Linked DNA regions of Danio rerio. The protein of the gene in region 2 binds, or shares a complex with, the protein of the main gene of each other region. Links are inferred from orthologs where the notes say so. Each region holds a gene or a part of one and is shown on either strand. Other genes may lie near its edges.

Evidence for each region.
Region 1: the proteins of mtor (region 2) and deptor are in contact, whole or in part, in a cryo-EM structure (PDB 7PEC), measured with the Homo sapiens proteins. The link is inferred for Danio rerio from reciprocal best matches to the Homo sapiens genes MTOR and DEPTOR. Residues at the interface, in NP_001373429.1 of Homo sapiens: Met304, Gly305, Phe306, His1494, Cys1498, Trp1501, Gln1525, Asp1527, Ser1528, Glu1530, Glu1531, Cys1534, Met1535, Ile1536, Arg1538, Arg1547, Gln1554, Leu1556, Leu1559, Gln1562, Cys1563, Lys1566, Arg1683, Leu1685, Asp1686, His1687, Lys1710, Ile1711, Phe1714, Gln1715; in NP_073620.2 of Homo sapiens: Arg54, His56, Leu57, Lys58, Thr59, Tyr60, Pro61, Val101, Arg116, Lys119, Asp121, Gly122, Thr123, Phe124, Lys131, Ala132, Arg135, Arg138, Lys142, Glu177, Gly178, Glu179, Glu185, Cys304, Asn305, Lys307, Gly335, Asp336, Ala337, Val338.
Region 3: the proteins of mtor (region 2) and mlst8 are in contact, whole or in part, in a crystal structure (PDB 4JSV), measured with the Homo sapiens proteins. The link is inferred for Danio rerio from reciprocal best matches to the Homo sapiens genes MTOR and MLST8. Residues at the interface, in NP_001373429.1 of Homo sapiens: Leu2269, Arg2270, Met2271, Ala2272, Pro2273, Asp2274, His2277, Leu2278, Thr2279, Leu2280, Met2281, Gln2282, Val2284, Glu2285, Val2286, Glu2288, His2289, Asn2292, Asn2293, Glu2536; in NP_001186102.1 of Homo sapiens: Tyr20, His22, Asp42, Ser43, Gln44, Val45, Asn46, Tyr62, Asn87, Glu105, Gln148, Thr174, Arg221, Tyr222, Leu224, Ser268, Arg270, Gly271, Trp272, Trp274, Ser290, Lys313, Val316.

The regions. Positions count from the first base shown.
Region 1 is NC_133191.1:14,924,894-14,936,035, reverse strand, and holds the start of deptor (DEP domain-containing mTOR-interacting protein), read right to left. Parts: upstream 5,325-11,142; 5' UTR 4,957-5,324; intron 4,739-4,956; 5' UTR 4,697-4,738; coding exon 4,581-4,696; intron 1-4,580. UniProt on the Homo sapiens protein: Negative regulator of the mTORC1 and mTORC2 complexes: inhibits the protein kinase activity of MTOR, thereby inactivating both complexes. DEPTOR inhibits mTORC1 and mTORC2 to induce autophagy.
Region 2 is NC_133183.1:56,014,976-56,025,475, forward strand, and holds part of mtor (serine/threonine-protein kinase mTOR), read right to left. Parts: intron 10,447-10,500; coding exon 10,318-10,446; intron 6,732-10,317; coding exon 6,487-6,731; intron 4,179-6,486; coding exon 3,963-4,178; intron 2,175-3,962; coding exon 1,969-2,174; intron 1-1,968. UniProt on the Homo sapiens protein: Serine/threonine protein kinase which is a central regulator of cellular metabolism, growth and survival in response to hormones, growth factors, nutrients, energy and stress signals.
Region 3 is NC_133187.1:20,161,485-20,172,779, reverse strand, and holds the start of mlst8 (target of rapamycin complex subunit lst8), read right to left. Parts: upstream 5,611-11,295; 5' UTR 5,502-5,610; intron 5,251-5,501; 5' UTR 5,218-5,250; coding exon 5,089-5,217; intron 4,273-5,088; coding exon 4,221-4,272; intron 4,038-4,220; coding exon 3,875-4,037; intron 3,793-3,874; coding exon 3,717-3,792; intron 3,638-3,716; coding exon 3,485-3,637; intron 2,038-3,484; coding exon 1,913-2,037; intron 1-1,912. Other genes in the region: meiob (meiosis-specific with OB domain-containing protein), read right to left, coding at 5,921-6,028, 6,119-6,205, 7,711-7,897, 8,267-8,411, 11,044-11,142, 11,223-11,295.

The DNA.
Region 1 (11,142 bases), on a different chromosome or scaffold from region 2:
TTCACACAATTATGGTTAATAATTACTTATAATTTAAATATAGTGTTGCCAGAAATAGCTGACTTTTTCCAACCGAAAAACTGTCCAAAACCCGCCACGATGCTAAATTTACATAGCTACTTTAACTGCCATAATTTTAACCAAACAGCAACCAACACCAGCAGTCAACAGAACCACAACATAACTGGATCACATCGAAACACTGCCCTCGCCTCAGCCACACACAGCACTAAATATTGCGTAAATTACACTATCTATTAGAGTATGTTTTACTTTCGAAATGGGTAATTAATTCATCCTATTTGGCGTTTGAAAGTCTTTTGAACAAAATTAGGTGCTGCTTGTCAGTTAGACGATGCTTCTATGTTTGTTCTTGCTGTCAATTGTGGAAAAAATGATCGATAAAAGTGTCATGATAAACTGCTGTAAGAGTCAGATTTGTCCGGGGAGTCAGATTTAAATACAACTTTCCTTCACCTACTCTTGCAAGTGAGCCAATGCAGTTTGCGCTATATACTGGTTGCTATTATCTAAATGGAGTAGGAGCACACAGTTATGCTTTGTTGAATAAGTTGCATATAAAAGTTACGTTTCAAAACCGCCCAAATTTTGTCAACCCACCATGCATTTTTTTACCCGCACAATCAACTTCAAAACCACCCAATCTGGCAACACTGTTTATATAATATATACTTTAGAATTATACATTTTTTTTATTGTTTACCTTTTTTTGAGTGACAAACACAATTTAACTGCACAATTAGCATTAATGTAAAAAAAATGTATGCATGTAACATTAAAATTTAATAACAAGTTTAAAAAAATGTATTTTAAGGATTAAAACATTCAAAACAGGAGTATAAAACCATTGTCTGGAAAATGTGTACAAACTGTCTATACTAAACAAGATATTTGGAAGCTGTTTACACTGGATGGGGCTATAAGCATTTGAAATGTATTTGTTCTCTGTGTCAGTGGTGCTTCGAGCACGTTAGAAATAGAAAGGGGCATCAATTGTAGTTAACAATTTACATAGTTTAGAAAGAGTCGCGCTGCTTGCGTTTGGTGTAGACATGTTATTAGCACTTGTGGGCAACTTGCAAATGACAGTAGTTTTGTCAATGTCATCTTTACAGTCGTTGTCTTAGATCATGAAATATTTTATCAGACTGTACTTCACTATTAAATTTAGCAACGGTGATCTTTTGCCACGATCAACAGATATTAATTTTTTTTCTGTTTTTATTATTTTAAGCTGGATAACTCAAAAGATGGGGCATCTTTAGGAAGAGAGGTGAAGTGCAAAAAATAATGACATCCTTTGAAGTTGAGCCTAAGGATTAAAAATTAACTTTGGTTTTCTCAAATAACTGTTGTTTTGTTAAATTGAAGGCTGATTCAAATCAAAGAATCAGTATTTTTTACCCATTTTGTAATGAAGTAATATGTTTTGAAGTTGCTAGACAGTCTATAAGACAGCTGTGTCTGGTACTGTTTCAGCAATCATTAATCAGATGTATTGACTAAACACTTATGCTCCTTTCACTATCACTGTCACAGTCCGTTGACATAGGAGCAGCTGTCTGAGAACGGATAGAGCCACAAACATATTACAGAAGATTTCTGCATAAATCTTAAATGAAAAAACTTACATCCAATATATAATATACTTCAAAAAAAATTATACATATATATATATATATATATATATATATATATATATATATATATATATATATATATATATATATATGTATATATATATATATATATATATATATATATATATGTATAATTAAAAAAAAAAAATATATATATATATATAAATATATATTTTTATATATATATAAAACGTTTTTTATTTATGTAAAACTTTATCTAATGTTTTTAGTCAGTTAGACTGAAGTTGAGATGACTAAAAAGTGAAGTTCTTGTTAAAATTGTTTTATGTCTAAATTTACAGTACTTAAAAAACAGCAAACAAAAAGTACCTGGATGACCCTATATGGCAAGATTCTGCAGTGCACAACAGCAGAAGCTTTGTGAATGATTCAGGTCAGGTTTCAGGTAAAAACTCATAGAAATTATTGTTTAACAATTAAAGACAAACTTGTTGTGAGTTCTAAGGTTGTTATTCAACTGAATATATAATTTAACTTGCAGGATTTTTAAACCTATGACAATGAAAAATGAAAGATTAATGAAAATTTAGGAAAATAAAAAACAGCTAAAAAAAAAGTTGACAGACACTCACTCTATTGAGATCTCATGTGAGTGACCATGTGCCATACCTTCATGTCAGTGTCACATCATCAGAGAAGTCAAAGAGGGAACCTATATAGCAGACCTCATTTAAACAGCATTTGGTCTAGAAATTGTTACATGTATTTAAAAGGTCTGTTTTGTGAACTAATGGGGGGTTCACTCCGTTGTGGCAACCCTTTATGAAAGAAGGGAATAAGTCAATGAAAAGTGAAAAAGTGAGTTTTATAAACATTAAAAATGATTTAAACATATATTAAAAACTAAGGGCTCTATTTTGACAGTCCATGCGCAGAGTGCAAAACGCAGGGCGCAAACGCTTTCAGGGCGTGTCAGGACGCATTTTTGCTAATTAAGGGACGGGAAATCTGCCTTGCGCCAAGGCGCATGGTCTAAAAGGGTTGAGTTTATTTTCTTAATGAGTTATAGGTGTGTTTTGAGAATAAACCAATTAGAGTCTCATCTCCCATTCCCTTTAAGAGCCAGCTGCGTCGCGCCAAGAGCGCATTCGCTATTTACAGGACGCAAAGTAGCCTAAGTTTAAGTGGAAAAAAATTAGCATTTCACAAGCAAACAGTTAACAGTTTTTTTAACAGAAAACTGTTAAACAGAGCATCTACTGCGTGAGAATGAGAGATAACGGATCTACTTTCACATTCGCTCTTGGATAGGGAAACCTTTGCGCACAGACATCAATTAGTCTGTAAATAATAAAATTTTGTTTGTTAAGCGCAGATATTCATTTCAAAACTATTTCTAAATTCAGTTCTAATTTCCAGCAAACAAATAAATTAACAATATTAACGAAGTGTGCTCAAAAACCTGAGTTATATTCTAAAACACATGCTGTGCCCCATATGGTCTAAAACCTGACAGGTGGGCAAATCTAAGCTTGTTTTTAATAAAACAAATATACATATGGATATAATAAATAATACTGCTAATAATAATAACATTATACAAAAGCAAATTGTTATGAATGAACTGAAAAAGCCTCCCGAGATGAAGAAGACATAAAAGCAGTGTTTTTTCATATTTATGTAGGCTATAAAATAATATGTTTTGTAATATTTTAATCCTTTATATTTATATCCTATATCTATTCGTATTATATGCTATATATATCCTTAATATTAAAATTTTTTCATATGTTAAGATATTTGCCTATTGCTCTCTTGTGCGTATTAAGCAGTGCGTAAGCGAGGCGCAACTCTGCGCTGGAGTTTGGACCGGGTTTGTTTTGGTAGTGAAAAATCTATTATAGTTTCTCAAAATAACAACCAGAACGCCTATGGGCGCACATATGAGTGCTAATGCATTTGCTATTTAAACAGCGTAGCGCAGCGCCTTAAAAACGACTCTTGCGCCAAGCTGAAACTAGCAAAAGACTATTGCGCCACATTGCGCCAGGTGTATAATAGGGCCCAAAGTCTCTGAGTGCAGTGTTTGTGTGGGGTCAGGGATGGGAAGTTATTGTAATTAAAAAAACTGGATGCACATTATTGAAAAATAAAAATGAGCAATTGTGAATATTTTACAAGAAATACTGCAAAATTATAGAAAAAAACAACAACTGCAAATAGTTAATTTAAAGTGACTTTCCAATACAATCTAAAAGTTGTATCAGCTAATGACTTATAAGTAAGCCCACACGGAATCTGCGCGCGCAGAATTCCACAGAATTCTGCAGATTTTTAGCCCATCATTAATTCTGTTTATTTACTTGAGTAAATGTTGGAAATCTATATTTTTCCATTTTTATTTACAGTAACATTATTAACTAATATGAAAAGGTTCATCTGATTTAAGTACAATGCAGTTTGTACAGTAATATTTTCTGTCTTTTAGTAGATATATTTTATGAGAGACTTTGTTAACCAAATAAAGTGAATCTAATCGGATTTGCATTTTAAACATGAAATAAAAGTTAAAAAATATATTTTTTTTTTTCATTTCACATATTAAGGTTATAGTTATGATGCTACCAAAATAATTCAGCAGAAATCCGCAGAGTTTTACCCAAATTCTCAGCAGAAATAGCAAAAAACGTCCGCAGATTCCGTCTGGCCCTACTAATAGGTGAGAACTACACGTGAATGATACCATAAAGCAGATTGTACACATTTTAATTCGCACTAGCATATGTGCACACTATTACTGTCCATTTAATATTTAAGAGGTCACATTGCAAGAGTTAAAGAGCTCTAATGACAGCGACGCGACAAACCTTCGACGTCGCGCGCAGTTCATGCATAAACGCTAGGTTTTTCGTTCTGACTAGTCGCTACGGTGTAATTGGGGTGTAAAGCCACACCTACCGTAACTGTTCTCCGGTAACGAGGACTTCGGCCATGCGCTCCAGCTCAGCAGCCTTCTTCTGCATGGTGTTCCCGATGCCGTCCATCTCTGACAGCCGCGCTGAATACCAAATCATGCACTCTGATGTGATTATTCAACGCCTGAATGAAAAAAAACACTGTTTGAGAATTAGTTGACATGCACAGCGTGCTTGAGCTTGTATTCATTTTAGAACACGCCTCATGACATATTTTGTAAGGCGTGATTATTGTTATGACAGCCTTAAAATTTGAGCTGGACGGACTGGTCAGATGAATGAAAAGATATTATGTCATCCGAATCATCCCATAAGTTAAAGGACATCGAAACAAACAAGCAAGCGACGAGAATATTTACCTTGGTTCCGATGCAGAAACCTCAGTCTTATGCTTCGCAGAACAATACCAGCGGTGTCAATAAAAGAACATCACTGTAATCTTGATCACAGCGCAAAACGACTCGGAATAACTTGTTTTTTTGTGTGCCATCAAGTGCCCTCAGTTCAGCCAACAGTAGCCTATATCCCGTCGTGTGCAAAATGAACCCCAAAATCGTGCAATAAATCACGTCGAGGATTCAAACTAAAGATTATTCCTGAACAAAGACCCCAGATGATGTATTTTCTTCATGGCATTGTGGATTGTTTACTATTCTTCACTGAAAGCACGTTACTGTCCATGTAGGGCGAGTCAACTTGACCATCCTCAACAGGGGGAGTTTACCATGAGAGGCGGAGCTTGAGCACATCACTCAATCACTTTAAATGCCCAGGCAAAAGAAATGAAAGGATTCATATACTTATTAAATATATATATATTGTGTTTTATGTTTTTGCAAACGAGCAAAAGATAAAGGATAAGTAGTAAAATATTTTATAATATATTATATGTAGTTGTTGTATACTGTTGAAACGTTTAATTCAGGTTTATTAAACTTATTATAAATTTATTATGTCTGGAATAATGTTTATGTTAAAAACGAATAAACAGAACGGTCACAACAGACTTATGCAATTAATTTAACAATAAATAGCAAAAAAAAAGACTTCAAAACATGCATTTGTATTAGCATTTTGTGTGTTTTTCTCATCTGAATCTTTTAATTAAAAATCCAAATTAATAACTATTTTTATTTTAAAAAAACAACAACCTTACATGTTTAAAATCATAAAGAATGTGACTGGAACCATTTTAATATAGCTACTGAATGTTCATTTTGTGAACAGTAAACTTGTAAATTTCCACTATTAATAACATTTAACAACTAATTATTTATTCATTTTATTATTTTATCTATATTTTATTTGTCTTTTTTATTCATAATTTTCTACAACGCACATTTTTGCCAGCATCAAAACAATAATATTACGTAACAGTGACACACGTGGTGAAATGTGTTATGCAGCGCCATCTAGTGGACACGTGACGTTTACACAATATTACGCGCCAGCCTGAATTGGTTCACGCTCATTGGTTCAAACTACTGTCGATCAACGGCATCATCTTCCGGCTCAAATATTGCGGGAAAGTTGATCGCTGACAACAGCAGACGTGTTTGTGTTCAGTCGGTCTGGATAAAAGTAATTCTGACAGCATGAGGACTTTAGAAGAGGTTCAGGGAACGCTACAAATCGCCAAAGTTAAAGAAGAAGACCTGCAGCCCGTCACTTACTGTCTATCTTTCGGAGATAATGTGTCGTCGGGCGATTACTGTCTCATGGAGGTGGATGAGAATCTCTGCAAGCACATTGAATCAGGAAAGAGGTAGCAAAATGATTGTTACATTGCTTCGTTTTGAAAGATGAATGCTCAGCTTTAGTATAATTTGAGATGATCGTCTCAACAATTAACGTTACATTTATGAACGTCGCTATAGAACTTACGTTTTGCATTGTCTTGTGAAAAAAATGCACATTAAAAAGGCTAACGTTAAATGAATTACTATGGAAATAAGATATTAAGATGGTATCATGATGCTAACTGAATGTAATATATTGTTAGAATGTTAGAATTATGGCCTTTAAATTATTTATTGTTATTGAAAAATGATGCAGTCATTTTTATTATTTAGTGAAATAAATACACTAAATTTTAGTTATTTTCTTTTATATTGTCTATTTTTATATACATGGTACTAAAGTATGTATAATGTGTATTGGTTGTTATACATTTATGAACTTAATATTAATATGATATACATATCCAAAACTTTATTCTAATACAGAATTGAAAAAAACAAACAAAAAAACAAGGCATAAATCATAAGTTGTTTTTAAATTTGAATGTGGTGACATTTCTGCATGACTTTTATAAAACATTTTTGACTGTGTAGAACACCAAGTATGTTTTATGATTTATGTGTTTGTTTATGTTTACATGGCAACTGCCAAAACACACAGAACACATTTTAATGTTTTTTAATAATTTTTATTATTGCTTTTTATTTTATTATACTTGACTTTTTTATTCTTGTTTATGTAAAGCATTTAGAATTGCCACAGTGTATGAAATGAACTATATAAATAAACTTGCCTTACATGTGCACATACACTGAGGGGCACTAGGGGCCCTATCATACACCCGGCGCAGTGTGGCGCAAGGCGCTGCGCAATAGTCTTTTGGTAGTTTCAGCTTGGCGCAAGAGTCCTTTTGAGGCGTTGCGCTACGCTGTTTAAATAGCAAATCAGGGCTCGAAATTAACTTTTTTACTTGGTAGCACCGGTGCTCCCAACTTCAAATATTTAGGAGCACCAAAAAAATTTTTAGGAGCACCAGAAAAAATTTAGGAGCAACCACCAAAAATGAATGAGCACCGCTGCAAATTGTTTTTTAAGGGATTTATTGTATTTTAAAACAACGTCAATAGGACTGACAAAAACCAGAAACAACTATCTAACTAATGCTGCGAAGACATTGATATTTGTGTGCAATAATTCCAAAATGAATGTCTAATAATTAGGCCATAGAATATTAATGATGATGAAAATAACAATAATAGTAACAATGAATTACATTTCTCATTATGATACTGCCTTGTAAAAATAAAGCATTGCAGTAAGAAATATTGATTTTGTACTGCTGTTTTTATATGCATGTCAATTTAATAAATAATATTTCTGCTACAAAACAAACAAAAGATTATATTAAATCATTCAATTCAATGATGAAAGCTGCAAAGTCATCAGTAAATAAATAAAAAAATAATATACACCTCAAAAAAGAATAGACAAAAGAAAGTAAATAAAATCTCACTTCTATCACTCTTTAAAAGTTTTGGTTTCAGTTTGTGTCAATTTAAAGGTTCTGTCTGAGATGATCTTCATTTTTCTGTGTTAATGGAAAAGCTGGCGAGTCAGCCGACCCAATTTATGAGCAGGCAGAGCAGGATTCTTGCGATGACAACCGGCGCAATACCGCTCTTTGTTATGAGCCGCAGTTTCAGTGTAAACTTGGTAAAGGCAAGCTTCTTTGGCGATGATATGTACAGTATTAGATTTGACTTTTAGCGGACATTTGCGCTGAACACGCAGTGAATGCAACGCATGGAGATTCGAGTGCCTTCTCCAAGAAGCGCGTACTCGATTGATCTCAGCTGGTGGATCATTATTCACCACGTGACGTGTCATGATTGCTTTCATCTGCGCCTCAACTTTAGGTGGGGTTTGCAAACCTGTGTGCTTTAAGTTTTTACTCTTCAGCCGTTTGCATTTCCCGTGGTCATCAAAACTCCTTCCCTGTCATCTGACAGCGGAATACCTTGAGGGATTGACAGCTAATAGAAACCAATATAGCGGCAGCAGGGAAGAGCGATTCAGCACGTTTTTACAAAAAAATCAAAACAGGTCTCACTCAACCATTATCTGCAGTCGCACTAATGCGCCCAAATATATTATGCGGTCGCATAGATTAATTTTCAGGCGCATATGCGACCAAAATGGTCGCAATTTCGAGCCCTGCAAATGAATTAGCGCTCATTTGTGCACCCATAGGAGTTCTGGTCTAAAAAAGAAGGCGTTCTGAGGTGGACCGCTGGCGCGTTGCTATTTTGAGAGACTATAATAGATGTTTCATTAGACCAAAACTAACCCGGTCTAAACTCCGGCGCAGAGTTGCGCCTCGCTTACGTACTGCTTATTACGCACAAGAGAGCAATAGGCAAATATCTTTACATATGAAAAAATTTAAATATTAAGGATATATATAGGATATAATAAGAATAGATTTAGGATATAAATATAAAGGATTAAAATATTACAAAGCTTATTATTTTCTAGCCTACATAAATATGAAAAAAAACTGCTTTTAATGTCTTCTTCATCTCGGGAGGCTTTTTCAGTTCATTCATAACAATTTGCTTGTGTATAATGTTATTATTATTAGCAGTATTATTTATTATATCCATATTTATATTTGTTTTATTAAAAACAAGCTTAGATTTGCCCACCTGTCAGGTTTTAGACCATATGGGGCACAGCATGTGTTTTAGGATATAACTCAGGTTTTTGAGCACATTTTGCTATTATTATTCATTTATTTGTTTGCTGGAAATTATAACTGAAATAGTTTTGAATCGAATATTTGCGCTTAACAAACAAAATTATTTATTTATAGACTAATTGATGTCTGTGCGTAAAGGTTTCCCTATCCAAAAGTGAAAGTGATCCATTATCTTTCATTCTCACGCAGTAGATGCTCTGTTTAACAGTTTTCTGTTAAAAAACTGTTCACTGTTAACTGTTTGCTTGTGAAATGCTAATTTTTTCCACTTAGACTTACTTTGCGTCCTGTAAATAGCGAATGCGCTCTTGGCGCGACGCAGCTGGCTCTTAAAGGGAATGGGAGATGAGACTCTAATCGGTTTATTCTCAAAACACACATATAACTCATTAAGAAAATAAACTCAACCCTTTTAGACCATGCGCCTTGGCGCAAGGCAGATTTCCCGTCCTTAAATTAGCAAAAACGCGCCCTGACACGCCCTGAAAGCGTTTGCGCCCTGCGTTTTGCACTCTGCGCATGGACCGTCAAAATAGAGCCCTAGATGTTGAAGACAAGTACACTACAGGAGCAGATTAAAGGTATCTTAATGCACCTCTTTTTCTTAAAGAGATAGCTCACCCCAATATGAAAACTTACTATTTACTCACCCTTGTGTGGTTATAAACCTTTAAGTTTCTTTCCTCTGCTGAACACAAAAGAAGATTTTTTTTAAAGCTGAAAACCTGTAACTACTAATGTCCATAATAGGTAAATGTAATGTAATGTATTTTTTATTTAGTGTCATGTCAGCAACCAAGGCTATCTTCATGGCAGGAATCTTTCAACAATAAATATAAAATTTAAAAATCAACAAACAAAATAAAACATAAATTAAATAAGTTTTTTGTGTTAATACATGATAAAAATTCTAAAATCTTTTCGGGTGTTATTTTGTCAAAAATGTCCTTAAAAGAGTTCATTTCATAAAAAGTCCTTCTGGAATCAGTAAAAGCAGGACAGTCCAGTAAAATATGTTTTACAGTAAGAGGAGTTTTGCAGCACAAACACTGAGTAGGGTTTTCACCTTGGAGCAAAAAACCATGTGTTATTCTCGTATGCCCAATACGACATCTGGTAAAAACTACTTGATCAAATCGATTCTTAAAATGTCTTAAAATTCTGTGTGAAACTTCAGGTTGGATTTCATGTAGTTTATTGTTTTCTAATGCATCCCATTCCTTTTGCCACTTGTTTAAAATGTAAGCGTTGATAAAAGTTTTCATCTCTGACGGAGGAATTTGGCATTTGTTCACTACTTGCTTCAAAGCATCTTTAGCAGCTGCATCAGCTCCATAATAGGTAAAAAAAAAAAAAAAATGCAATGGAAATGAATGGTTATCTAGTGTCTGAATGCAGCCTTTATGATGCAATCTGAGATTACATTTCTCAAAGATGCAATGTCAGACACAATGCACTCAGTGGAGCTAGTGACGTCACTGCGAGAGGTAGGGTTCGGGGTGGGGTTTGGTGAGCCCATTAAAAAGCATTGCATATAGCTCTGATTGCATCTGCACCAGGTCTGTATCCAGAGCCCTTACATGTTTGATTTAGATTAAGTCAAAGGAAAATACTTAATGACAGAATTATCATTTTTTTGGATGAACCATCTCTTTAAGGCTGAGATTTATTCATCTGTTATGTGTGTTTATTCTTTTCACTAGCCTTATTATCAGAGGTGATAAAGACGAGCATGCAGTTCTGTGCAGTGAGGACAAAACATACGACTTGAAAATCGCAGACACCTCAAATCTGCTGCTGTTTGTCCCAGGATGTAAAACTCCAGATCAGCTGTCTGACATCCCAGCATCTCCTCAGCTCATGCACACACAGGTGACTGAGGAAATGATGTATTTTTATCTTAAGCGATGATGTAAATGTTGTGTGAATTAACAAATAAGCTTTATTTTGCAGATTTGGGGATTTTCAAACTGTTACTGGGAGCTGAGAAGGCAGAGACCGAGGTTAAAGAAGCTGAAGAAACTTCTGATGGAGAATCCATATGATG
Region 2 (10,500 bases):
TGAAAGTCAATGATTACCGGTTTTCAAAATTCTTCAAAATATCTTCTTTTGGGTTAAACAAGAAGAAAAAAACTCACACTGGTTTGAAACAAATGAAAGGTGGGTAAATGATGACAGACCTTGTATTTTTTGGGGTGAACTATCCCTTTAAGTTTTGTTGTGTTAGACAGTATATAGTTACTCTTATTGATGTTCTAATAAGATGTTCTACAGAAATAAGTAAGCAACAGCAGCACAATAAATGTCTGAATAAGATGTTAGTCAAAACAGTATAAGTTGATATGGCTGGGAAAACAAAGTCAGAGCAGGCTGACTAAAGCGGTGGTAAAAGAAAACTGCTGATATTTCAGCAGGAAAAACATTTATTGACTGCCATCTGTTGGTAGATGACCTAAAGTAAAATCTTACAGCTACTCTTATTAATTGTGAATGCAGAGGACAGTAAGACGTTTACTGCAACATACTACTTATATACAAAATATATTACTGTGTGAATTACTGTACTTCACAGTATTACCTGACCTTATATTTCTAGAGTGTTGAAAAAAATAAAGGTAATTTAAAAAAATATATAAAAATGAAAGGGATAGTTAGCCTAGAAATCAAAACTCTGTCATGTTTTATCAAACCTTCACAAGCTTCCATCTTCTTTCAAACAAAACAAAAGGAAGAAACTACTAAAGGTTAAGAAACAACGAGTAAACTCTAAAGATTTTAATTTCTGTGCGAACTATCCCTTTAAAAGCAGAAGTGATTTTTGATAACACGTAATTGAATGTATTAGTTGAGTACACTGGCAACTGAAGAAACAAAAGTTATTTACACTTTAATTTACATAAAATCATTAAGCGGACGCTTAAATTCAAATTAGGATAAAATCAGCTTTTAATCAACAGACAGCAGTAATATACATGTTAGATTAGCAGTTATTTTATTTTTAGGAAAGAGTCTGGTGCATTTAGAGATGAAAGAGAAAAGAGTGTGCCAAGCCCACTCACCTGTGTGAAGCATTGCACAGTTTTTACAAAAATATGGTGTTTACAGCCTGGTCCAAAAAACTAATTTGGTTCATATAGCTAATATTACCCTTAGGTTATATTAAGTCTGCATAATTAAGAGAGTGGCCACTTGAGTGACAGCTAGGTCTCGTTCTATAGACATTTAATAAAGGCTTAGACCCTTTATTAAACCAGGGTCGCCACAGAGGAATGAACCGCCAACCTATCCAGCACATGTTTTACGCAGCATATGCTCTTCCAGCTGCAACCCATCTCTGGAAAACATCCATACACTCTTATTCACACTCATACACTACGATCAATTTAGCCTACCCAATTCATCTATACCGCAGGTGTCAAACTCAGTTCCAAAAGGGCCGCATCTCTGCACAGTTTAGTTCCAACCCTAATTAAACACACCTGATCAAACTAATTGAGTCCTTCAGGCTTGTTTGAAACCTACAGGTAAGTGTGTTGGAGCAGGGTTGGAACTAAACTGTGCAGGGCTTCGGCCCTCCAGGAATTGAGTTTGACACCCCTGATCTATACCATATGTCTTTGGACTGTGGGGGAAACCGGAGCACCCGGAGTAAACTAACACGAACGCAGAGAGAATATGCAAACTCCACACAGAAACGCAAACTGATCCAGCCGAGGCTCGAACCAGCGACCTTCTTGCTATGAGGCGACAACACTACCTACTGCGCCACCGCGTCACCCACAATGACTTTTATTTATTTATTTTTTTATAGATGTGGAGTGATTATAAGAAAGTGTCTTGTGCAAATGTGCAAAACTAGTGCCGAGATGAAAGAGTGTTTTCTACAGGTGGTTTGTCAAGCCCACTCACCTGTGTGATATTTTATTCTGGCACTATGCTATTTAACAGATCCTCTTAATATATAATATATAAGAGTATGTATATCATGATAGGATGTACATTTAAAAAAATGCTAACAAACATGAGTACCTGAATGAGCATCTTGCGCAGGAAGGGCATGACAAAGGCAGGGTTCATACTGCTGAGTCGACCGATGGTGCAGATGGCCAGTTCGCGGATCTCAAACACTTCATCATTCAGCGCCACAAACAGAGCCTGGAGGTTCTCTGCTTGTGCCAGGTGGGCATCAAAGCGTTCGTCCAGGGAGGCCAGCACACAGTATCGAATATCAGGGTCTGTCATGAGGCCAAAGAAACAGTGCATGTATGAGATAAACTCTCATAGAACGTGATATTCAACCATTTCTCTTTAACAAGATGAAAACCTGGCTGATGAATGGATGGTTCACGTTAAACTGAAAGTTCTGTCATCATTTATTTATCGTGGAGGATGTTCCAAACCTGTTTGACATTCTTCCTTCTGTTAAACAAAAAAATTTAAACCTGTAACCATTGACTTCCATTTGTTTTTCCTACTATAGATGTGAATGGTTACCAATCTGTATTCAATCAGTCTAGGTCGGTACCCTCAGCAGTAAGTACATGGAGCACTTTTAAACAAATGTTATTTTAAGGAAAAAAAACTAAACCATTACGATAAATAATTATGATAAAATTACCTTTTTAAATAAAAAATAAGTTTTATGATGGATTGTTGGTAATTGTATTGGTTTCGGCCAGATTGGGTCGCAATAAAAAAAAAATAAGACCTGTTTAAAAAGATTTAAAACCTACAACACAATATTTCAGTAAATTTAAGCCTTTTTAAGGTCTATAAAGACTTTTTAAGACCCCGCAGAAACCCTGGGGAGAGTGTGTGTGTGTGTGTGTGTGTGTGTGTCAAACATTTTGGTGAATTACATTTGTTTGGGTCAGTTATAAATTTGAAAAGCCCTACAGCAAGAAGGTGGCTGGTTTGAGTCCCAGCTGGGTCAGCTGGCATTTCTGTGTGGAGTTTGCATGTTTTCCCTGTGTTCGCATGGTAAAGTAAAATGGGTTAAAACTATAATTATCTTTAAGCTGTCCAAATGTTTTTATACTCATCAAGCTGCTGACCGGAAGTTCGGAACATCCTCCTTACACATATATGCAAAGCAGAATGGGTAATTTTGCATTCAAAGAAAAAAGTCTAAAAGAGAAAGTTAGTCACAGAGCTTAATAGCTATTTAATAAAGTTTAAAGTTTATTAGTTCAAACTTTTCAGACGTTTTTAAAATAAAAAAAAACTTTTTTTTCACTGTGTGTTTGCCTATTATACTTGCAATCATTCAGAAAAATGTCAAACAAATTTATGTTTATTGGCCAATATATCAGATTTTAGCCTGAGTTATCAGTATCGGTCAAAAATTTCACATTTCATTCATTCATTTTCCTTCAGCTTAGTCCCGTATTTATCAGGGGTTACCACAGCGGAATGTACCGCCAACTATTCCAGCACATCTTATACGCAGCGGATGCCCTTCCAGCCACAACCCAGTAATGGAAAACACCCATACACTCTCACATTCACACACTACGGACAATTGAGTTGATCCAATTCACCTATAGCGCAAGTCTTTGGACTGTGGGGGAAACCAAAGCACACGAAGCAAACCCACACTAACACGGGGAGAATATGCAACGTCCACACAAAAATGTCAACTGGCCTGGCCAGGACTCGAACCGGAGACCTTCTTGCTGTGAGGCGACAGTGCTACCCACTGAGCCACCGTTCCACAAATATATTGCCACAAATCAATTTCAAAATTTCAATATTTTTAAAACATGTCAAAAATCAAAAAGATTTCATAAAAACATTACTTAAATTTTACAATTCACACATCTAAATATTACTGTTTAAAACTTGCTGGATAAGTTGGCGGTTCATTCCGCTGTGGCGACCACGGATTAATAAAGGGACTAAGCTGACAAGAAAATGAATGAATGAATGAATGGTAAATTTACTAATAGATTTATTTACAGATTTATTAATGTTCTCTCTTCACCGTCCCTATAATCACGCATTCAAACAATTGTGTCTCTCACCTGGGTCAGTGATGCCAACCACAAGTAGCTTGCTGAGAACGTCAGCCACCACCTGCACAGCGGTCTGACTGACCACGTGTCCATGTCCGCTGAGCAGGTGGATGGAGGGGGTAAGCAGACGTGAGCAGGTGCGCGCCGCCTCCATGCGGATCTCCTTGTGCTCGCTGTTCAGAAAGTGGTCCGCACAGTGACGCACAAACTGGGTCAAGGAGTGGCCTAAAAATCAACCAAACATCATCACACTTATTTAAAGGTGCTGTATATACATTTTTGATTCATCTAAAGCATAAAAATACCATAATATGTTTGCATATTTTTTAAAAGAACATGCTAACATTTCTTTTTTTTTTTGGCCTTTTTGCCTTTATTAGATAGAACAGTATTTAGACAGGAAGCAAAGTGGGAGAGAAAGGGGGGTAGGGTAGGGAAATGTCCTCAAGCCGGGATTCGATCTCGGAACGCCCTGACGTGCTACTGCACCGTATGTCGACGCGCAAACCACTAGGCTATTGCGCCGACAAGAGCATGCTAATGTTTATCTAAAAAAAAGCCAGTTAAAGTCAGTTATTCTCCTTGAAAAATGTGCTTTCCATATAAGAATGCCTGTCATTGTTACCCAATTAAATTTTCGCACTCTGGCTTGCATTGGTGGAAAAAATCTCATTTCCTTTCAGTTGCCTCAATGTATGCATTACATATTAAAACTCTTTAACATTGTTCAAAGTACATGCTGAATGACTGATATTATGTTGGTTTGCATTGAGTCACAGTTTTAACTTTTAATCTTTAATCTTTAAACTATATGCCTGCTAGTTTCAAGATCTGAGGTAAACACACTGATGTTTTCAGTGTGCCAATAAATGTCAAGTATAAAGATATTTAAATTCGCATTTGTAGCATTTAACACTAAAGAAAGCAAATGATCAGTATCTGATGTAATCATATAATGCAATACCAAGCTTAACCACTAGTCTAACTCGTACACACCGCACATTTAAATAATTTGTTCACCTAAAAAAAAAGTTCTGTTATTAAAGGCGCATTAGCTGATTGTCTTCAGAAGCATTTTTGATGTGCTGATTGAAAGTCTCTTCACAGTCTAATAGTAATGATTAAAGTAAATGATCTAAATGTGTTTATATGTATTTTTTTTATTCTGGGTAAGGCATAAAAATAAAAAATGTTCATCCAATTAAATAAAGTCGGACCGACATCTCTCATAATTCCGATAAGTAACTCAAACTGTCAGTCAACAAATGCAGATTTGGGCTTTTGCGCATCTCTGGCCACGCAAATCCGCCATTAAGGTTGATTTATACTTCTGCGTCAAACGCCGGCGTATGCTACGGCGCTGACGCATAGCCCTTTGCCGTGGCCTTCGGCGTCGCTGACGTGCACCTCTAAAAAAAATTTAACTACACGTCACAACGACGCGTAGCGCAAGCTCTGTGATTGGTCGTCTTGGTAGCGCTGACGAGTCTGGGCGGGACCGAGAGCCGCGTAAATGGTGCGAGCCAGATGGAGCGATTGTTTACAACTGTGGAGTCTCGTGAAGGAGCTCTGGATGGAAAATTTGGTTTGTGTGTACCTCTTAGTTAAAGTTGTTGCACGTCCGCCGGTTCCTGCCACAAAATGAGCAAGTTTGAGCCACTTGTACATCCCAGAAGTGTTCAGGAAAAGCAAAACACCAGTGAAGAAACTCGACACAGAGGAACATAAACGCCTCACTGCCAACTAGCGTTTCGGAAGTGTTAATGCAGACCAACAGAGACGTGCAGAAGTATAAATGCACAGCTACGCGTGTTGCATGCGCCATGGGTAACGCCGGTCACTTGACGCAGAAGTATAAACCAGGCTTTGAGGAACCACGAAGTTCCCGCTAAACGAGTACTGACCACTGTTTTGAAGCAGACTACAGTACAGTTGGCCGTCCCTCCATCTGTGCACACAGAGACTAACTTTAATCTACCTCTAAGCTTCAAATATGGCAAAGTTTGAGTCTATGTTCTGTGTCTCGTGCCATTTGAATCACATCCAAAATAATTAGCTTAAATCTGAGGTGCACGCCTAGATGAGCGACACATGCACGCGAGACTGTCAGTTGCAGCAAATTCAAATGCTGAATTCCAACTTTTTAAACTCCTGAATCAGTATTGGAGTTACTTTTGCACGCTGGAGGAAGGACGACACCACACCATGGCTGAAGTATTTCTGTTAGAGAGGTAATGTTCTGTTTTAAAACTATATCAGTCACACAGAGCTGATGTAGAGTGTATTGTGTTATGATTGGGTTCTATGCAAAGACGTGTTGTTTAGCCACTGAAATATTCCCGGTGGACGATTCACTGGTGTGAAAGCACCCTAAAATATCTTTAAAATATCTTAATTTCTGTTCTGAACATAAACAAAGATCTGGAACAAAACGACAGAATTCAAATTTTTGGGTGAACTGGTCCTTTAATTCATAAACAAACTGATAAGAAAATGCTATTTATTTTAAAGGTCATCACCTAAGTCATCTTACCTTCAAATTCAAAGCTGCCGAGAGTTCTCAGTGCCAGAGTTATGCTGCCCACGTCGCTAGCCTCAGGGATATTGGTCAGGCTGGGCGATGATAGCTGATACGCCAGGCCCTTGGGCATACCCGGGTGACGAAGAGGCTTGTGCATGAGCACAAGTGAAAGCATCTTTAGCAGACCATCCTGAATGTCCTTCTTCAGCTGTGGGATCTGCCTGCTCAGGTCGTAAAGCACTGCAGTCAAAGCAGGGCTGAAGAGAAGAGAGTTGGCAAGAGAAATAATGTTTAAAGGGGTTGTTCAATGCTATGTCATGCATACAGGATTATTTATAGTGTTGAAGAGACTCTTGTGTGTAATAAAATTTATTTGGACAAAACACTTTTCGGGATTGTTTTTTTTCCCAAAATCTTACTTCTGGGTGGTTACAAATTTCACAATGTTTTTTTTTATTTGATTCTTACGGAGACCCGGAAGGGACGTGATGGTGGGGGGGAAAAAAATAGGTGCAAGAAAAAAAATTGGTGGAAGAAAAAAATACCTGGGTGGGAGGAAAAATCGTTATCTTGCAAAACTGTTTCTCCTAAAACACTTTCTGTTTACTTCATTCATGTAAACCCTCCCGTTTTTGCTGAAATTCTCCCGTATTTTACCATTCTGTCCTTCTACCATCCCATCATTGAGTATTTTCCCATATTTCTGATATATTTTTATTCTTGAAAGCACGTTGAAATTAATATTAAAATGTCTGCATCACTTTCATTACATTAAAGCTGTGTGTTGATCATCACCTTTCATATGCAACCTCTGAACCAGTGAATGCATGTATAAGCGCTGACTGACAGACGCGCTCTGTACAATAAACTGATTCAAGATCAGCTTCTGTACACCCTATTTACAGAGGAGCAGAAGTGCAGGACACTTTCGGATTAGGGTGTATGCTTAAACAGACAAATACACTGAATAATACGTAAACATGTCCATCCTGCATGTTTTATTTTAACAGCTACTTTCCTCTTAATTGAGCACAAACAGTTAAAGTATGCTTTCATTATATATCAGTGCGTTCGTAAAGTGACACCTCATCAAACAAAACAAAATGAGAAAATTATTTGCTGCTCTTCACTTGTTTGATGACAGAGGTGTCACTTTAAATAGCGTTTACAGAAGCTGATCTGGGATCAGTTTATCAGTGCATATGAGGGGCGCTGATCGACGCACAGCTCAAATGGAAAGATAGTGAATGCAGACATTTTAATATTGTTTTCAACATGCTTTCAAGATTAAAATATGAGAAAAATATGGGAAAACACCTGATAATAGAATATAATGGTAAAATACGGAACAATTCCAGCAAAAACAGGAGGGTTGTCATGTATGAAGTGAAATGTTTGTCATACAACAGTTTTGCGAGGGAACGCAAGACATGTTTGCGTTCTCTCACAAAACATATTTGCGAGATAACGCAAAACATATTTGTGAGGGAACGCAAAAACTTTCAAAAATATGTTTACCTATCACTTGTTTTTTTTTTTCCCCCACCCATTTTTTTCTTCCACCATTACGACCCTTCCGGGTCTCCGTAGATAATAGCTTTAATGTAACTAAGGCACTGTTTACACTATAACGTTTTCGTTTTAAAATACGTTTTGCTTTCAGTTGATTGGAGAATGAAAAAGACCCGACTGACGTAGCGCGCCTTTTCTGCTCAGACTTGACTTTTGTTTCAACTGCAACCATACAGAGCGCAATAACAAAACCGCGAGGTGCGCAGAGCGAATAAACAGCACGCAAAACACTCACAGCTGTTAGTAAATCATTTTAAAAAAAGTGCCGTTCAACGCAATATCGTTTTCGGTGTGATCGGATACTTTGACTCATCAGAAAACATCAAATAGTGCCATTCAAACTAGAGGTGTGAACCTATACTGGGGGCTGTTCCAGAAAGCAGGTTATGTGACATACCAGGGTAAGTTTGAGAGTAAGTAGGTGGATAACCTCAGCTTTGGTTCCAAAATCGGAGGTAACTTCTGGGTACTGTATGTTAAGTAGCCATAGCAACTTACTCTCTGAAGATAAATGTTCAGAGAGTAAATTGCTATGTTCCAGAGTGAGTAGTAAGTTGCTGTTCCATTTGTTTGTCTGTTTCAGAGAGCTTACTCAGCATTGCATGCTCTTTTGATGAGAATATTTGTGGATGTGGACACACAGATACAAGTTTTTTCATTTTGAGAGGGTTATAAGTGCATAGCTTTTTTTTTTCATAACATTTTTTCGGCGATCTACTGAAAATGCCTTTAGGTTTGTGCCGTGCACGCGCATTAACCTGCGGTTATCTTCAGGAGGTTGATTTAACTAACTCTTATCACCTGTTTTGGAACCAACATACTCGCGGTAAGCAGGTTTTGGGTAAAAAAGAAAAAGACAGCTGTGAAACATAACCAGCTTTGTCTTTTTGTAGGAAACACACTTTAGATCTTTTTAGGGTAAGAGGTTTTTGAGTTATTGCCGTCTATCACTGAATGTGTCAGGAATATCGAAAACAAAACCAACTTAACCGCACTCATTTCTGGCGCCCCCCTGGATTTACAGCGCCCTTGGCATTTGCCTATACTGCCTTTGCCACGTGCCGGCCCTGAGTTGGCTCCTGGAGTGTTGAAAATACCCGCACTCACCTTCCTTTGCGACAGAGCGCATATGAGGTAAATGACGTCAGTACATAATAACCGGTAATGATTATTACTGAACCCATACCGAATTGTCCGCGTCTGCATCGCGGTGCACAGAAGAAACAATTAATTTTGACACCCCTAATTCAAACCATATTGTGAAACTGTATTCATATTGCAATATTTTTCACAGGAAAAATCTAATTTTTCCAATATTGTGCAGCCGTATCACATTCCCTTTAAATCTTTTGGCATGTAAAAAGCCTCAAAGTTTGTGCACAATTCACTAAATTTATGTTGACATTTTTTTTTACTTGACTTGTCTGAATGAGTTGTGAATAGTGTTTAGTACTGAATTATTGCATTTTAAGCAATGACTGCCTTATCAGGGTTAAACACTAAGGATTTTTTCTACTGGGCCGATCGGGCCAGTGGTTCAGATTTTAACTTGCCCTGCCAAAATTTTCACTGGCCCCATCCAAAAAAAATAAATAAATAAATAAATTTAAAAAATGGAAGTTAATAGCTATTTTTAGCCGCATATTTTAAGTAATGTGTCAAAAATAAAATCTGTGATTCTACAATTTCAATACTTTGAAATTGTTCGAAAAGTGTCATGCAAACAAAAACAGCAAAGGAAAACGTGGTGGTATTTTATTGCGGTTCGAAATTATTTAACAATTGGTGGCTGACTTGTCAAACTGACGGCAAACTGTGCAAAACATGACTTTATTTTTTTTATTGTGTTGTTCACACATAAATGTCTGCTTGCAAGACATTAGAAACAGACATTTTCTTTTAGCCTTATAATTTGATGTTGCCGTTTCTTCGCTGTATTGGTTGTTACCAAGTTACGGAAAAAGATTGCATGCTCAAAACATCAAATCTGAGAAGAGGTACTGAAAAGCAATATGGTGTTTACGACATCACAAAGAAGGTAGTGTTTAAAGACTTAAAAGCACAAACTTAAAATGCATGCAATTGACAAATAGTCACAGACTAATTAAATGTTAGAGACAAGGCAGCACTGTCCCAATCGGGCCAGTAATGATCCTGTCTACTGTCCCAAGCGGCTATCACGCTGGCCCTGTGCCACCGGGCAGTCCTTATTGTGGAGCCCTGCATATATAACTGAGAATAAGAGACTAAATCCAAGCAGTTGTACAGTACCTGAGACCAACAGCTAGCATGGGCTCCAGAAGTTCTTTGACGTCCTGTTGGATGCTAGGCCCCATAGCTCTGGACAGCATACTTATGCAAGTAAATACAGTAGCATCCACCTGCATGGTCTTCTGCCTCCTAATAGGTTGTAACACAAACCACGAAGGGACAAAATGAGAAGTAAATCAGAGA
Region 3 (11,295 bases), on a different chromosome or scaffold from region 2:
TTTGAATGTTACATCACCAGGCTATCCATGTTTCTTGCAGAGTTTTATGTAATTTTAGGTTTCATCTTAAATTTTTCAACTTTAAATGCAGTTTGGCAGTTTCACTTTCACTCATGAACAGTACATTCATGCGCCATGACAAACTGGTGTATTAGATAAGAGTATGGAGTAAGGACTGGAAGAGCGTTGTTTTAACGGAATATAATACCGCAAGCCAGATGGAAAGAAAAAAACTACCTATTTCACGGTGTGTGTCTGCAGTCCTTTACTGAGGCGTGTGTGTGGATAATGTCACAAAATGCAGCAAAAAGTCCTACATGACGGTAATAAGTTTGATTGTGGTGTTTACTTCAATAATTCCACTAATATATGCATACTCCACATGTCTTAAATCCATTTCTGTTTAGTTCAATTATGATTTTAGTCAAATTAAGGTAATCAAAAAAAAAAAAAATTTGCTGTTTACATGGTAGACTCTTAATTAGAGTATTGTCTTCATCATAATTAAGTATTAGTGTCCATGTAAACGTACTCAATGTTTGACTCAACCCCAATGTCAGGGCTGTGAAATTGGACAAACTTGGGAGGGGCATGTTCTAAATGGTTGAAAATCCCTGGTCTAGACAATATTGGATTTAACAGTAATTCAACTGTCAGTTATTACATATAGTTTCATATGTACTGATTATTTAACATGAAGGATGTAGGCCAGGGCTATTTAATGAGTTTGTAATGGGGGCCAGTTCATGAAATGCATCCAAAATGAGGGGCCGGAGAGACATGACTTGCAATATAAGTGATGACACAACTGCAATATAAGAGCCCACATGCTGTAATTTGCTCCTTGAGACACCCACGTTGGCTTTTTTTTTTTTTTTTTACACCAAAACGTTAAAATGTTGTATTTTAAAACTACATAATATCACGGGATTGTACAATGTGTATTCAAATGTTGTATTTCAAAGCACAACAAAATCAATTAGAAATGCAATGATTTTGGTTGTACGATATAGTCTGAAGAATAATCATGGTTTCACAATTATTACCATTATTGTGCATTTATTACATTCAAAACACCACTAGTTTAGAAAATCACAAGAAAACTGCCTATATTTTAAAATGTTGTTTGCTGCTCAGTAATCAAATACAGCACAAAATATTGTTAATAATAAACTAACATTTGTCCATTTCTCTCTTTGAACTTAAAAATAAATGAATTTGAAATAAATGAAAATGAATGAAAATGATTTAAACATGAGTCATAATTTTACAATAAAAATAAATGACAGAACTATGAATAAATATAAAAAAATAAGAATAAATAAATAAAAATATTTGTCTAATGTTAATTTTTAGCTATATATTAGCTAAGAATTTAAATGAACTGTTGTTATTATCTGCAGTCATACATACATAATCATTTGAACAATTTGTAATCATTCGTCTAACATAAGAGTGCGAGTGCGTCGGTCCGCTCTACAAGCCATGTGCACACCACTCCTAATAAGCGCACGTCTCCATTGGAAAATGAACTTGCGTGTGGAAAATATGCAATATGTGAACGGCCATCCAATGTTTGTGCGTATTAGCCTCAGTATAAGCTCGGATCTTTAAACTAGCACACAATTGGCATAACTTTGTCTACATCAGGGCCATTTAAAAGTGTGTAACGGTGAACTCACAGACAGAATTGTTTTTCCTTGTATTGTGTGTTTGCCAAATAGTTTACTATTAGCTAAACATGCAATACAATTTCCTTCTAATGAGAGAGGTCAAAACAACACCGAAAATTAATGATGGTGTTTTTTGATGTACAACAGTAAAATTGGAGAACAGTATGAAATAAATGAAGGCATTTCTGTTCCTTTTTTACAGTTCTCTTATTGTCCTTCTAGTATTGCAAGACACTTACGTGGAGTCTGGGCTGAATTTGCAGCGTAATGAGTAGCGTTTGTGAGCTGGGATCTTTGTCTTGGGTATGAGTTGCGTCACTTCATCCCCCATTCCTCCAGCCAAATTCCACACATAACAGTTGCCCTACAGAAAGAAAAATTAACCAAATATGAAGAATGTTTACAACATTCAAATTGATCATGGAAGCTCACGGATAGAGGCTTTACACCAAAAAAAAAAAAAAATGAGGGTAATATTTTGTGTCACATGGCATGCCTGAACATCTGCAAGAACCAAATAGGTTTGTTCTTGTGTGACAAACAGGGGTCCATTCTTCTCTGTGTTCTTGTGTTTGCTGTAAGGACAGATCTCTTGATCCTTGAAATCATGATTAGCAATGCAGTAAAATACTTGCTGATTGACTGGCTAATGCCTTCATCTGAATAATCGTCATTTATGAGCCATTTCAGCAAAACTACAAAATTCATAGTGAATTTAACGGTTTGTTCAATATAATATGCAAGAACTTCCCACGTTTGTTGCAGGCTGTTTGTGCAGGCTTCACACTTTCAAGTGTCAAAGATTTAGCTATTTATTTGGTTTTACTTTTGGAGGTCATTTTCTTTAAAAGTATTCAAGTTTCTACATAAGGCACATATTAGCTCTCAACATCTACATGATTCTATAAACTATACAATTATTATTTATATATGTATATATTATCTGCCATATCTTTTATCATACACTCTCAGAATTTGTACAAAACTGGGACAGAACCATTTCAAAGTATGCGTTTGTATCTTAAAGGTCCTTGTTGGTATCTTAAAAATATATAGTGTATTACTACTTAAAAAGTATATTCCAATCACAAAGTACAAAAATGTTTTATTTGAACCTTTAGAAAGATATCAGCAGATTTTGTACTTTAATTATGGAGTGTAGATTACATAAGAGTGTGAAATGATTCTTTTCTTTTAATTCAGATTATTTGGGCGCATGCTGAAAGTATCAGTAGTTGGTACATACTATCAGTATCACCTTCACCTGACTCAATCTAATCCTGTTTACATGAAGTAAGCCTGCTCTCAAGCATGTTTGAGCTACCAGACCTGTAATTATATAAAAAAAAAAGTTCCTGGATGACTTTTGAAGAACAACACTCACTGGGATTATGTCAAATCATCCATAATCAAATCCAGTTCACATAAGAAGCACAGACATCTGGTGAGGTTGAGCTTCTGTTTATATTTTCTGATCAATGTTTGCATGTATAAGAAAGCCTAAATTCAATCTTTTCATCATATAAATCAACTGTGTGTTTTCAAAAGTCTTAAACCACTTGATTTATATGGATTTGTTTTACATCTCTTTAATATTTTAAAGTTTAACAGACTTTAGGTAGAAGGAGAGAAATCCTTAAGATTTTATTTAAATACACATTAATTTGTTTTTCTAAAATGAACACATGTATTGTAAGTTTTGAAAACCATGCGAGTAAATGACGATTTTCACTTTTGAGGTGAATTCCCCCTTAATACCTCCACATGAACACAGCTTCATTAGCAGAGTGCCATATTGACGGTTTACTGACCGAGCTGTTGACTGCAGCCATATAACTGGCATCAGGATCGATATGGACTGAATTGACGGAGACGTCTGGCTCTGGGATGAGTTGTTCATTGTGGTCAGTTTTCAAATCCCAGATATGGATAACACCACTTTGGTCCCCAACGATTAGTTCGGCCTAAAACAGGAACATTTAAAGAAAATGTGATTCGTTTGCTTATGAGAATTTAAAAAAGTAATGAAATGTTTTAACTGACCTGATTGGGATGAAGACACACGCAATTAATGGGTGCATTGACTTGAAATATTCTTTGGCACTGAAGGTTTCGGGACCTGAATGGAAACAGTACTTGAGAAAAACATCTACTGCATGAACTATTTAATCTATTTTCGTTAAGCAAACAGGACTCAGTACCTCAGGTCCCAGATGCGAGCCATGCAGTCTTCTCCACCCGTGTACATCCACCGACCATCCTCATGAAAGCCCACAGACGTGATGTTCTTGCTGACTCCATCGTAATTGATCACAGGGTTTGGATTGTTTGAATTTAAGTCATACATGCGAATGTGTTGATAACCTGAAATTAAATAAGGTATAGGAATAAAAAATAAAAGGTTTAATGATTACGAAATAGATGTAGTCCTATAGCACCTTTTAAAAGTAACAGTCAAAAAGTGTTTTATAATAAAACTGGAGGATAAACAATACAAATATTCATATGAAAATCGTTGATTTTAAGTAATGATTGTGCAGAACTTACCAGCAGCAGCAATCATGCTCCTATCAGGTGTTACTTCAAGAGAATTGACTTGCTGGTGTTTTCAGTTAAGCATCTTTTTTTTTTGCACTTTAATAAACTTACACATTTCTTCCAGACAAAATGTGTCCAAGGAGACACTTTAGCATGTACAGTCCAAATAAAAGTCTTTAAAGCAATAGCATAGTGTGCATACTGTACTTCATCTCCACTGAGCTATTTTACATACATTGCCATCTAGACTTATTATAGTACACATGAGCAATTCCAGCGTTAAGGATGTGATATTTGCAGTAAAAACTCAAAACATAAAAAGTTAAGATTATATTGAAACATATAACATATTTTCCAAAACAACTAACCATGGGAGTTATGGGATCAGAACAATATCAATCTGTAAACACTATTTAGATTTTAAATGGGAAAAATAAACGTGTTATGGATGTGAACAAAAAAGTTAGCGAGTTTACAGTATACAACACATTTTGAAGAAATTCTGAGAAAGAGAACCCACACACAACTCAAAAGAAATAAATCAAAAGGATAAGAGTTGACTCACAATGGAAACAAAAATCATTGATTTTATTTTATTTGTTTTTACATTTTTGCATTCATGAGGAAAAACGCTTCCCTATGGATGTGATATCTCTCCATTATCGGCTTGACAGATGTGAAATTGTCACTAGTATGACTGGTAAATCAAATATTACTATTTGAAAATACTGACAGACATTTGAGTATTTTTACAGTACTGTAAAATACAATCCTACGCAAAAACAAAGCACTTAAAAGTTTTTTTTTTTTTAAAGAGGTAACAATAAAGAAGACTTTAAGCTTGGTAATGACTGGGCATCTGTTGGGTGAAGGATACAGAGTCCTGGTGCTGGACAGTTCTCGTACAGATCCCGCTGTGGGCCTGCCAGAATCTGACGGTGTGGTCATAACCAGCGGTGGCGAGAATCACCGGGTCACTTCCGACGGTGCCTTGATTCACATTCATAATCAGCTCTGCTCAGTCCTGACCTAAAGTTATCTACGCGAAAGAATGCCTAGTTTTAAGCTCTGCTTGTTCAAAATTTTATAAATGTACCTCAATACCTTTTAACATAGATGTTTCTACAGCTTGTTTATTTATATTTTTGCAGCACGATTAAACTGTGGTTGCACAGAAATAAATGACGTTAAACACTTGTTATAGTTATACATTAATTTTCAGCGTGAAAAAATTGTCTAAAATAAACATGGAGACACATGATTTTAAAAATAACGTACAGTAAATCTTACCTGAGCGAGACGAAAGCGCTAAACCTCAGTTAGGTATATGTAAATCTATAATCTTAAAAGCGAAAACGACATTATTTACATGTATGTCAAACCAAGCGGTGCTTCTTCCAAAACCGTCCCCCAGAAACAATTCTTAAATCAAGAGTTCCGAAGTTCAGAAAAATGTTCTTTTTTAATATTTATTTAATTGGTTACATCAGTTTAACTGTACCAAAATAAATATAAATAAATTAAGTTAATTAATTTAAATATACAACAAAAACAGTGTAAGGTAAAGGAGGACAATGGAACCAAATGTGAAAACTATTACTCAATAATCTGCATTTAAATTGAATGAATCAATCAATTCTGCACGTTTACAATCGATTTGCTCTCATATGAGGAACTGTTTTGTGTTGTTTGGTTGCTGATGCAAAACATCAAACCACAAATGAGGCAAGGTTTTGCTTCACTTCAACGGGGTCAGCGAGTCCGCATGACAAGATGTCTGCCTTCATTCCACTTCTCCTTCTGGGAGATGGAAGAACCTGCGATTAAAAAAATGGTGAATTACATCCTTACATGATCAACATTCCAAAAAAAAAAAAAAAAAAAAACTTATGACAAACATGTAAAACCTTCAGATATATTTTGCATCGCTCCAGAAGAAACTTCCACTGCAGGCTTGTCCGCTGATACTCCGACAGGCACAAAAACTCTTCTGTCTGTCAAGATGATATTACTTTACTGCACAATCCTAACAGTCTTTAAATATCTATTATGTATTATTAGAGACAGTTAGGCCATTGGTGACAAGGTGGCTCAGTGGTTAGCACACAACCAGAAGGTCACTGGTTCGAGTTCTGGCTAAATCAGATGATATTTCTGAGTGGAGTTTGCATGTTCTCCCCTTGTTGGCATGTGTGTCCAAACATATGCGCTATACAGTAGGTGAACTCAATAAACTAAATTGGACAGTGTATGTGTGTAAATGAGTGTGCATGGATGTTTCCCAGTATAGGGTTGCAGCTAAAAGGGCATCCGCTGTGTAACACATGTGCTGGATAAGTTGGTGGTTCATTCTGCTGTGGCGTTCCCTGGTGAGTAAAGGGACTAATGAATGAATAAATGAATGAATAAATGAAAGAGTTAGGTGGTTTAACCCTCAAAATGCATTCAGTTCTTTTTTTGTTTGTTCTTCAAGATATTCCTATCACCTAACATTTTCTAAAAATGTTTTTAGTAATGAAACTTTACAGAACTTTAAAACCACAAAAATAAGCAATTTATTTTTGTAAGGCCTATGTAATTTAACAATGACTTTACAGTTAAAAGATGTATTTTTTAATTGTAAGTTTTATATTTGGACCATTTTGGACCTGGGTATGAATGGAGAAAGAGTATGCGCCAAAAGTATTTGTAAAACTATCTATCTTAATCTGAAACTTCATGCAAATAAAATTTGTTTATTTGTTTGAAAACTTTTTAGAGTAATGTTGTTTTGTGGTAAATCAATAAGTACGTTTAATCTGACAGTTTTTTTTTTTAAATCATTAATTTATTCATTTTCTTTTGGCTTAGTCTCTTTATTAATCAGGGTCGCCACAGCGGAATGAACTGCTAACATATCCAGCATTTGTTTTACGCAGCGGATGCTTAAAACAAATATATACTCTCACATTCACACACATACACTACGGACAGTTTAGTTTATTCAATTCACCTATAGCGCATGTCTTCGGACTGTGGGGGAAACCAGAGCACCTGGAGAAAACCCACACCAACATGGGGAGAACATGCAAGCTCTACACACAAATGCCAACTGGCTTAGCCGGGTCTTGAACTAGCGAGAATCTATATTCTTATATTTCTTATGTAAAACTTTTTTCTTTTATTTACTATAAATTTCCTACAATGACATAATCAAATAGGATTTGGTGTAGTTTTTGTGCAATTAGAAATTTTCAAAGATCGATATATTTTATATTTTGATTAACAATTAAAAAAGCATTAAAGAGTAATAAGATAAAATCAGTAACACTCAATTCTACATCCACTCATTAATGAGATGAGATATGGAGCAAATAGGCTGAAAAATATTTTTTAAAACATAATCTTTAACACCAATTAGACCCAGAATGCAAGTTTAGTATACAGATTTTGAATGTATTATGACATTTGAATGCTTTGTTTCTTCACCAGCATTAATATAAGCATTAGATTTGCTCACTTTACAGCCCAGAGTTTTCTCAGCCACTGTGCCCACCAGGTTGCATGACTGCAAAGTGCCAGTGTGGTCACTGATGTCCACCAGCACATCAAAGCATTCATTAGCCTGGAGCTCTTGTCCTTGATTTGGACAAATGTCACTGGAACACGTCCAACTCTCCTCATTGATTCGAAATTTGCATCTGGCACTAGTGGAGAAATTATACATTAAAAGCAAAATAAGCTAGGGCTGTGCAATATAAGAATATATAAATATTGTATGGATAATAAAAATATATTATTACATTTAATTTGTAATGTGGCACGGTCACTACATACATACTAATAATTAATTGAATTTATATTAAAACACATATACTGTATATTGTGATATACAGTAGTCAGCATTTGAAGTGGATCAATAAAGTTTGTAAAAGTTCATTCAATTTACAAAGAATTGTCTGAAATGTTTTATATGCATTTTAAATGTCGACTACTATATTTATCAGGATATATGATGACTAATATTGTGACATGAGAATTTGTATCTCACAAAACTGTAAGCGTTGCAATCTCACCATCTCTTGGTTATTATTTTGGAGGGAGAGGAACCCAGATCAAAACAGGTGATGAATCCATATATGATGCAATGAATGGCATCTGCATTTTCTTGACTTCTGGTTTTAAGTTGGCTTACTGTCATGACGTCTCTAATGGAATCCACTGAGGGGAAAGAAATTTAAGGATAAAATGCTGCAGATACATTTTGCATTCATTTGTTTTTTATAATGCAGTTTTCATGGTAAAAGTTTGTTTGATGGTAATGTAATTTACTACTTTAAACCCATTAGCCAAAAACTGAAATACTAATTAAATCATTGTTAAAAGACAGAGTAAACAACCTCGTATTGAGTTTTTTTTTTCCTTTTGCTCTTGTGGTGACACTTTTGACATTTTACAACATAATTTTCAGTCCTTTTCAGATCAAAATAGTGAGGGCAAACATCACTTCCAGTATGCTATTTTTACAGGATCAATTTTACTTTGAATAACTAGTTTTGCTATGTTGTAGAATTAAAAAAAACTGACTATGTAGGACACCCTTTTGTAAATAATAGTAAATCAGTGGCACTTTACAATAAGGTTGTAGTTGTTAATGTTAGTTAATGCATTTTCTAACATGAACAAACAATGAACAATACATTTATTACAGTATTTGTTCATTTTATTTAATGAAAATACATGTTTTCTTCGTTAGTTTGTTAACTCACAGTGCATTAACTAATGTTAACGAGGCTAAATTAGGATTTTAAAAAGGCATTAGTAAATGTTGAACAATGATTAATGTATGCTGCACAAGTATGGTTCATTAATAGTTCATATAAACTAATGAAACCTTATTTTATAGTGTGACCAATAAATTGAATATTACTAAAGTAAAGTATATTTCCTTATTTTAAATATTTCAATATTTTAATTACAGTATGGTGGAAAAATACATTGACTAATTTAGACAAGAAGAAATCGTGATTCTCAGCTATGTAACAAACTTTTTTGCACTACATATTGTTATAAACTATAACATCTCGTTATTAAGATAACTGAAAATATAACCATTTGACAAAAACTGAAACAAACAAAAGCATTTAGGTACCAAATATACCAGTGATTATAGAATTGCCTGTTTATTTATCTAAATTCATATTAATTTCAAATTACAACTGATTAGTTGTTGATTAGTAATTATAATTTAATTATATTAGTTATTTTCAAATGGACCTCTGCTATCACGAATAGCTACATATATAATAACTTTAAAGTTAACATTAACTTTGATTTTTTTTAATTAAAAAAATATAAAATTCAGCTGTTTCTTTTTCACTTTAAGCAACTTTTCAGTTTTATTGATAAAACCTGCAAAAACAGTCAATGTTACAGTCCTTGTTAAAGCAGGGCTGTCAAACTTATTTTCACTGAGGGCTACTTCAGCATTATGGCTGCCTTCAAAAGGCCGGTTATATCTGTAAGACTGTTTAACCGTTATTACTCCTTAACAGTGTTAAATGTGTGCCTTTTACATCATTCATGCAACCTAGTTTGCATTGACTGTGAATGTAATAATATCATATGCTCTCACAGGCCACAAACATTTTATAAACACACCGAAGTTTCCCACGGCCCTTGAATTTGAAGGGTAAAAGAGTTAATACTCTAACAAATGAATAGTTGATTGTAAGTCAACATTGTTAACATTGTTTGTTAACAAACTGTATGGCGAAACATTGACAGAACTGCAGTACAGATCTGTCAAGATAACTTTTTAAAGGTGCAGTAGGTGATTGTCTTCAGAAACATTTTTTGTTGTTCTGGTTAAAAGTCTCTTCACAGTCCAATAGTAATGATTACAGTAAATGATCTAAATGTATTTATATGTATTTTTATATTCTGGGTAAGGCATAAAACTAAACAATGTTCATCCAATTAAATATTGTCGGGCCAACACCTCCCATAATTTCGATAAGTAGCTCAAACTGTATGTCAGCGAATGTAGATTCAGACTTCTGCACATCTGTTCACGCAGATCCGCCATTCGCGCGTGCCCACCTGCATGAGCGCCGCACGTTCATGAGACAATCACAGACGCATTGAAATCAAATGCTGAATTGAAACTTTTGAAAATACTGAATCAATATTGGAGTTACTTTTGCACGCTGGAGGAAGTACGACAACATGGCTGAAGTATTTCTGTTAGACAGGCAATGTTCTATTAGATTGTATGTTAGATTGTGTTGCGTTATGAATGGCTTATATGCACAGACGTGTTGTTCAGCCACTAAAATCTCCCGGCGAAAGATTGATGTGACTATTTTCAGTTTCATAAGGGACCTTCGACAGCATCGAAAATGTAGATTTTTATTTAGTTCAACACCAAAACATCAGCAAACAGCACTATTCTGTCTAACCTGCTTTATTGGGCTGAAGTTGCTTTTATATTCACATTGGTTCATTTATGATCAATGACAGCCTCCCTATACTGTTTACCATGCTACTCTAAATATTCGCTCTGAAATAGCATGTAAGTGTGGCTTAGTAATATATGAAATTCCTGCAAGCGGTTATCGTTTTGGCAGATCACCTACTGCACTTTTAAGCCACAAATATTTACATAATCTACCAAAAGCAAAAAAACAAACAAAAAAAAAACAATAGAAACACAGTTTTAAGCACCTGTGATCCATATACAACCCCTGCTGCAGCATTTCAATAACTAAAATGCTTTATATGAAAAATGTGAGACATCACATGAAAACTAAGACTGCAATTTTAATGTAAAGTGTGAACAATAATAACTTACACAGCACATCATCACCAGAGAGGAAGTCCTGGTCATCCAGTCCTCCAGATTGTAACAGTTCCCTGACAAATGTGTACAGCTGGTTTGCCTCTGCTGTATCTATAAGTAATCAACAAAAAAATGAAAGATTTTAATGTTAAAGTATTAAATATCTTTACTTTAGCATATCACATCTTTACCAGGGTTGACGGTAATGATTGTTTTGGAGATCGCTGTTGCCACCATACTTTTGCGAAAACTGTCAAAGGTGAT